Canis lupus familiaris: one gene and its partner. The protein of the gene in region 1 purifies or fractionates together with the protein of each later gene. This does not show direct contact. Links are inferred from orthologs where the notes say so. Each region holds a gene or a part of one and is shown on either strand. Other genes may lie near its edges.

Region 1 (3,823 bases):
GGGAGGTGGGAAGACAACAGTGCTGACTTTGAAAGAGAAGGTAAGAACTCAGAGGTGTCATATGCCATAGGGACCATGTTGATAACAGGAAAATAATGGTCCTTCCATCATAAGTTGGTTAGTTTTCATGACTACAGACTATACTTCCAACCCTAGCTAATTATTTGGAAATATCTGATCTTAGTCAAAGGAAGGGAAGGGATGATGTGTGGTTGGATCAGTCCAAACTGATCCCTACCTCTGGAAAATCAATTCAATACACCCAGTGTATTGGGAGGGCAATATATTTTCATGTAGCTAATACAATCTTTATTATATACCATACGGTGAAATTATATGGTCTTTGGTACAGTGAACATATTGGTAGTTAAGTTTTTTGTTTTTGTTTTTGTTTTTTTTTAAAGGTAGCATGCTTTTAATGGTAGTGAAGATATAATAGTTAACGGAAGATGTGTCATCTAGGGAAGGCAGATGTCCTTGGTATGATCTGGGTTCAGTACCTGGTTCTTGGCTTTGATCAGATTATGGGGATGCACTCATGTTGTTAACCTAAGCCATAAGACAACCAGAATGCTTAAAAAATTTAATTTATTTATGCTTGTTGATCTCTTTGGGAAAACTTTATAATGGAGTTGAAATAGAAGCAGAAGGTGATCTGGTAATTGTGGGATTCTGATTGGGGCAATTAAATAATCTATTCTGAAGGTAGGAGAAGAAAGTTTGCTTGTATACTATATTCAGAGTCCTGTTCTGGGTACTATACATAAGACCTAGCTGTCAGTGAGGGCTTAAGGTGAGTAGGTGGTGTGTAGGAGACAAGAGGCAAGTAAATCTCTCTCTGCTAAAGGATCTAACCGTCTAGTTGAGGACAGGTGCATTCCCTAAGGAATGCCCAATAACCAAAGAATTGACATTATTTCCTCTATGCGAGGGACTTGCAATACCTTGTGTTTGTGCAAATGGTTCTTGAAATGTATTGGAATAGTAATTTTTCTTTGAACTTGCAGGTTCTCCAGAAAAGAAAATTGAAAATACATCCGGGAATCAAGAAAATATTTCTGTTAACCCTATCAAGAATAGAAAAGCAAGTCCAGTATCTAAAGACCACCAGACCGGAAAGAAAACCTCGGAGAATTCATCAATACAGAGTCAAGTGCAAAAGCGGAATGACGAGTCTGAAAGTGATTTTGAATCAGATCCCCCTTCTCCTAAGAGCAGTGAAGAGGAGGAACAAGAGGATGAAGAAGTTCTTCAGGGAGAACAAGGAGATTTTAATGATGATGATACTGAACCAGAAAATCTGGGTCATAGGCCTCTCCTCATGGATTCTGAAGATGAGGACGAAGAGAAACATAGCTCTGATTCTGATTATGAGCAGGCCAAAGTAAAGTACAGTGATGTGAGCCCTGTCTACAGAGACAAATGTGGCAGTGGACCAATGCAAGATCCTAGTAACACACTCCTCTCCCCGACCCGATTACCCTCTGATGTTGGCGTAGAGGCTCCTAAGCAGGAGTTTGATGTATTTGGCGCTGTCCCCTTTGCAGTGCGTGCTCAGCAGCCTCATCAAGGAAAGAATGAGAAGAACTTCTGTCAACAGAGCCTCAGTCCTACCGTGGGTCTGGAGCAAGAGGAATTTGACGTATTCACAAAGGCCCCCTTTAGCAAGAAGGTGAGTGTACCGGACTGCCGTGCCGTGGGGCCCGAAGCACATACTTCCCCAGGTTGTCCAAAAAGTGTAGATATATTTGGCTCCACTCCATTTCAGCCCTTTGCCACATCGACCAGCAAAAGTGACAGCAATGAGGACCTTTTTGGGCTTGTGCCCTTTGAGGAAATAACTGGGAGTCAACAGCAAAAAGTCAAACAGCGAAGCTTACAGAAACTGTCTTCTCGCCAAAGGCGCACCAAGCAGGATCTGTCCAAAAGTAATGGGAAGCGCCATCATGGCACACCAACCAGCACAAAGAAGACTGTGAAGCCTACCTACCGCACTCCAGAAAGGGCTCGCAGGCATAAAAAGGTGGGCCGCCGAGACTCTCAAAGCAGCAATGAATTTTTAACCATCTCAGACTCCAAGGAGAACATTAGCGTTGCACTAACCGATGGGAAAGATAGAGGGAATGGCCTGCAACCCGAGGAGAGTCTGTTGGACCCCTTTGGTGCCAAACCCTTCCATCCTCCCGACCTGCCGTGGCACCCTCCACATCAGGGCCTGAGTGACATCCGTGCTGATCACAACCCCGTCCTGCCCGGGCGACCAAGACCGAATTCACTGCACAGCTCATTCCACAGTACAGATGCGTTGAAAATGGATGATTTTGGTGCCGTTCCCTTTACAGAACTTGTGGTGCAAAGCATCACTTCACATCAGTCCCAACAGTCCCAGTCAGTTGAATTAGACCCATTTGGTGCTGCTCCATTTCCTTCTAAACAGTAGATACTTCTGACAGACTCTTGGCGTTAACTCCTGTTTCAAAAAAGTATGAATAGTTTTATGAATTTGAAAGGAAATTTATTTGTATAGCTCTTTATATCATTCACTCGCAAACAGGTCAATCAGAAATAGGTGATTTTTAAATAAACCAAATAGAAAAAGGAAGTGTCTCCACAGAGTAGTGACTTGCTGTCTCTTCCGTGAAGGAGAAAAGGGAGCTCAACTGCTAGCTCTAACCCTGGGCTTCAGCCACCAGATCGGACTCCACAGAAATCCAGGGGGAGCACGCGCCACCTTTCCAGTTGTGTAGCCACTGAAAAGGGACTGGAAAGCTGTGTCATTATTTTTGTAGCAGAACGTCACTTGGGTGTGCATATTCTGGGCTCCTGCCTGTCAGGATCCAGCATTTAAAACTAAGGTTATTTGTACATACAGAGGTTGGATTTGTGAATTTTCAAAGGTCTCTTCTAATTTCCACACAGTAAAATCAAAATCTGGTTCTCCTAAAGAATGAAAAAAGTTACTATCTGGAGAGAGCAGAGATTTTAGTCCTTAACACCTTTCTCGACAGAACAGAGCCAGAAGTAATGGACTATTGTGCCTAAAACTGTTTTGTTTTTTAAAACAAGTGCCATTAATAAGGAGTATCTACACAGAAGCCCAGAACAAAAACCAGAAAAATACCTGACTTGTGGAAAACGTAGAAGAAAAAAAAATGATACAGAAGAGAGAAAAGCTACTTCAGGAAGTTTATATTGCTTTCGAATGGCTTCTTGTTCAAAACTTTTACTGTCATGTCCCTAATAAAGCAGATTGTTGGAAAATGGGGAGTGAGGACAAAGGTTGTATAGAAATTGTACTTCAGGAAAAAAATCTGTAGCTGAAACCCTGAGTTTTTAAGACAACATAAAATCATGTTGCATTTAACAATGTGCTTTATTAAATTACCACCTTCACCAAATATTCCCCAAGTCGTGAGTGACAACTTTCTAGTTAGGTTGGGAGGGTGGAATAGTTTGAATAAAGTGCACAGAACAGTGAAACCCAAAAAGCCTTAGAGGCAGGACTCCTGCATCCTGCTGCAAGTACCTCTGCACTGACACACAAGATCTTAAAATGGCTGTAAGGTATTAGATGATGAGGAACTAGCTTCTCAGTTCTGCTAGTTGATGCATCCAGTGAAAAGAACTTGGCTACCAAATTGCCTTTTTTTTTTTTTTTAACACCACAAATCCTAATTAGAAACTTGAGATTTTATAGAAATTGTTTAATAAGTTAGAAATTACTGTATGAATTAATGTGAATACAGTATCTGTGCTTCCTGTGTCTCCAGCTATTTTAAGTTCTAATTAACTGTCCTTCCCTATCAACATTTAGAAGTTTCTA
Region 2 (3,823 bases), on another chromosome or scaffold:
GGAATGCATCTCTGAGGGAGCAGGGGAGGGGATGCCTCCACTACAGGGCATGAGGACCAGTACCCTGTGCACACCTGTACTTCCCCTTGGGCCCTCCCTTGCTTCCTGGAGGCATAGCCCATACCCCTAATGGGCCCAGGGCTAGGCAGAAAGTTTCAATTTTGAAGAAGTGGCTAGTAGAAGTTCCTGCCACTAGAACTCAACAGCACATCCTGGAACACTGCAAAGACTGAATTTGGCATCCTGTAGTCTGTAGGTCTAACTAAGGTGACTTACTATCATATGAATGGAGTGTAGCTATGGTAACCATAACCACTTGTTACATGGAAATCTTCACCAAATCACACATCAGATGCAAACCCCGGAGCAGTGTTTTAGCCACGCTCAGATGGTTGTGTTTGTGTCTTTTCACACCACAGCTAACTCCCACCCAGATTCTGATTCTTATTGAGCATATATCGTAACCAGCAGGTACCTGAGGTCAAATAAGTAAAATGCACAGATGTAGGAAATATAAATCCTCTGCAGCAGCAGCAGCAGCAATTTTACTCACTTATAGTCACTCTTAATATCTGCTCTTTTAGAGGTTCCTCTGTTTATAGACCTGCTTATGAATATAATGTGGGAAGAGTTTCTCAGCAGAAAATTACATAAGCCCTTAAAAACTGACCGGCAAGACCTCTGGATGTTTCTCAGCTTCATCATCTTGTTCTTCATTTACATTTGATGCAGCAAATACTTCAAATTGGCTGAAATCTGCAAAATTTGGTTGTTCTGGTATCTGCTGAGGTGAGGTACTAGTGTGAGTTATCAGGCCATCAGCATCCACTGGGCGATGCACAACGGGACCAGGAGCCTACATGATGGATCAGGATAGAGGAACACATATTTTATTAGTGAATCACTGTCCGCAACCTTCTCTGAACATATATTGTAGATATGCTTTGTTATCTGTAAATTCAGGGTGATAAGGGACGGTAGCATCTGGCTCTAAAATCCGTAAGTGGAATGCTGACACACTAAAAAAATTAAGATGACAAACCTTCAATAAAAAAGATACTTTTACAAAATTCTTTTTTGCAAAGAAAGTACATGAAAGCAGAGGGAGGGTATGGCCCTACTGTCTGATTCTCCACTTGCATCCACTGTTTTCTTAATTAGGGTACCGCAGAATAGTGTGTGCTTTTAACAAGTTATTTTTAAACTGTTTCATTATGTTTCTAAAAGGGTTATTTTAAAGTATGAAAACCACTGCTCTAAGGATCCTCCCAATACTTCAGTGTACTTCCCTTTGGTATGTCCTCCACTCCTTTGGTGGAGCAATCCTAAAATCTTCAGTTCAAAAATAAATTTACCGAGTATCTAACTTGTGGCCAAGCATTATGAAAATAATAGTGAATGAACAAATAAAGTCTGCGCCCTAAAGAAGCAGATAGACCAGAGCAAGGTAAGAGACAAGTAAACAAGAACGTAAAATGCAGCGTGAGAAGTCTCATGACTCTCTCTGGGTCTTGAGTACGACACAGAAATACTCTGCCCCTTTCCAACCACCTCTTCAGTTTCATCTCCCATCATTCCACTTGCACTAAACTGACTCCTTTACCCTGAATATGCCAGGCAATGTCATTCCTTCTGATTGGAGTGCCCTCTCCCCAAGAAACACTACTTTATCTCTCAAGTCTCTGCTTAAAGTCTTACTTCTTTCATTTTACTTATGCCTTTTCAATGAGATCCTTGACTTTACTAGCTAGTAAAGCTGTGCCAAAGCATTTCATAAATATATCTAGCATAGCCCTTCCATTATAATTGTTGTTTACAGGTCTGTCTTCCCCACTGAACTCGTTCTTGAGTCAAGTGACTAGCTCATTGGGTTTCACAGTTTAACCCAACACAAATATTTTTGCTGGCATTTTAGATAAACTAGATATGGAAACATTCAAATTTCAGGACCTTTTATGATTAAGAAACCATCTTTCTAACTTCAAGTAACCAACCTCATGATCAGAATCTAACTCAGAAAAAAATCAACCAAATTCATTTTTGTAAGAGGCAGCCAGCCAGTCAGTCACATAAAACTATAGCTATAATCCAGAATCTGTCTCAGAACATACTAGATGAAAACAATTTCCACCTGGCAGGGATGCAGAGGTCTTCTTACACTTTCTTTCCTGATGGAGTAACATCCTTGGCAGGGAGATGCAGGGAGGGCACAGAGCCTCTGCTAGACCCAGGACATACATGGACATATATCTCCCAACCCACTGTTCTCTCCACTAAACCTTCCATTATTAAGACATTATCATTTGGTCCACTTTTAAGTTTCTTTCAAAGGTAACTCCTCTGGACTTCCAAAATAAGACCCAGCTTCCCTAAATGAAATGCTCATTAAGAATGATTAATTGGGTAATTCTTGATCTTCAAAATAATTCCAGAGTAGAAGCAAACCCCTAACAGACAAATATAATTGTTCAGTAATGAACACACTGAAGAATTACCTGTGAGGGCTGTGGTCTTGGAGGCACTGCAGGAGGATGGGCAACAACTCCAGCCTGTTGTTGTCCTGAGTAAATACACAAGTCATTTCTTTTCTTTAGTAAACACATACTTTGCTAGTAGAACGAACAAGCAGAGTGAATGGGATCAAATGACAAAGACTTCTAAGAATGCTTGACAAGTATTGGAAGGCATTTATTATCCTGTAAAACTATCTAGATATGACCTAGTAACCAAGCCTCATAGCCTTTTGTGAGACCTCATTATCTATCTTTTTGTTGTTGTTGTTAGGGAGTTATTTTGTTTAGTAGGCTCCGCACCCAGTGTGGAGCCCAATGTGAGGCTTGGACTCATGACCCTGAGATCAAGACCTGAGCTGAGATTAAGAGTCGGACACTTAACTGACCAAGCCACCCAGGCACTCTATCTCAGATCGCATTTCTCTTGTTCTATTGCACAAGGCACTCATGGTATTCTTGTTTCCATAATACTATACATTCTTGGTTTTCTAAAATTTCTGAATGCTCTTCAGCTATAAAATATGCAGACTTCCAAATTTTCTCTTTGCATTTAATACTTCACTCAATCATTTCTAAGTAAATAATTCTTAAATAACACAATCTTTCTTAGTCCACAAGTCCAATGGCCTACTATTATGTCATGTTTTCCTCATCATTCCAAACCTATGACGTCTAAAATAGAACATCATCACCCTTTGGTTCTAACTTTTCTGTTTTGATCAAAATTTATTAACGGGATCCCTGGGTGGCGCAGGGGATCCCTGGGTGGCGCAGAGGGGATCCCTGGGTGGCGCAGAGGTTTGGCGCCTGCCTTTGGCCCAGGGCGTGATCCTGGAGACCCGGGATCGAATCCCACATCGGGCTCCCGGTGCATGGAGCCTGCTTCTCCCTCTGCCTGTGTCTCTGCGCCTCTCTCTCTCTCTGTGACTATCATAAATAAATAAAAATTAAAAAAAAAATTTATTAACAATAAACCAGTTATATAAAAATTAAAACTTGAAGTAAATTATGAGTGTTATCTCTCCTTTGTTAGTTAACTGAAAACCTAGCCAGCTTTCCCTCCTTGATCTCTCCACATGGTTGTTTTAAAATCTCTTGTGGCAACTCTCAGGTTCCCATCTCTATCATTTTCCCTCAAATACATGAAGAAAAAAAAATTTCCTCTCATCTGACATCTTCTAAACTCAAAATTTTTCCTCAGATAAATAAAAAATAAGGCATAGTAAGAAAAGATTAAATAAAAATGTTGTGCTCTTTAATGAACTTTAAAATCAGGGGTGCCTGGGTGGCTCAGTCAGTTAAGCATCTGC

The links.
Region 2: the proteins of BMP2K (region 1) and REPS1 purify together in Homo sapiens (affinity purification with mass spectrometry; 3 studies listed by BioGRID and IntAct, counting the BioPlex papers as one, with this or other methods). This does not show direct contact. The link is inferred for Canis lupus familiaris from reciprocal best matches to the Homo sapiens genes BMP2K and REPS1.

The regions. Positions count from the first base shown.
Region 1 is NC_049253.1:36,918,706-36,922,528, reverse strand, and holds part of BMP2K (BMP-2-inducible protein kinase), read left to right. Parts: intron 1-1,007; coding exon 1,008-2,440; 3' UTR 2,441-3,823. UniProt on the Homo sapiens protein: May be involved in osteoblast differentiation.
Region 2 is NC_049222.1:31,378,276-31,382,098, forward strand, and holds part of REPS1 (ralBP1-associated Eps domain-containing protein 1), read right to left. Parts: intron 2,561-3,823; coding exon 2,496-2,560; intron 857-2,495; coding exon 671-856; intron 1-670. UniProt on the Homo sapiens protein: May coordinate the cellular actions of activated EGF receptors and Ral-GTPases.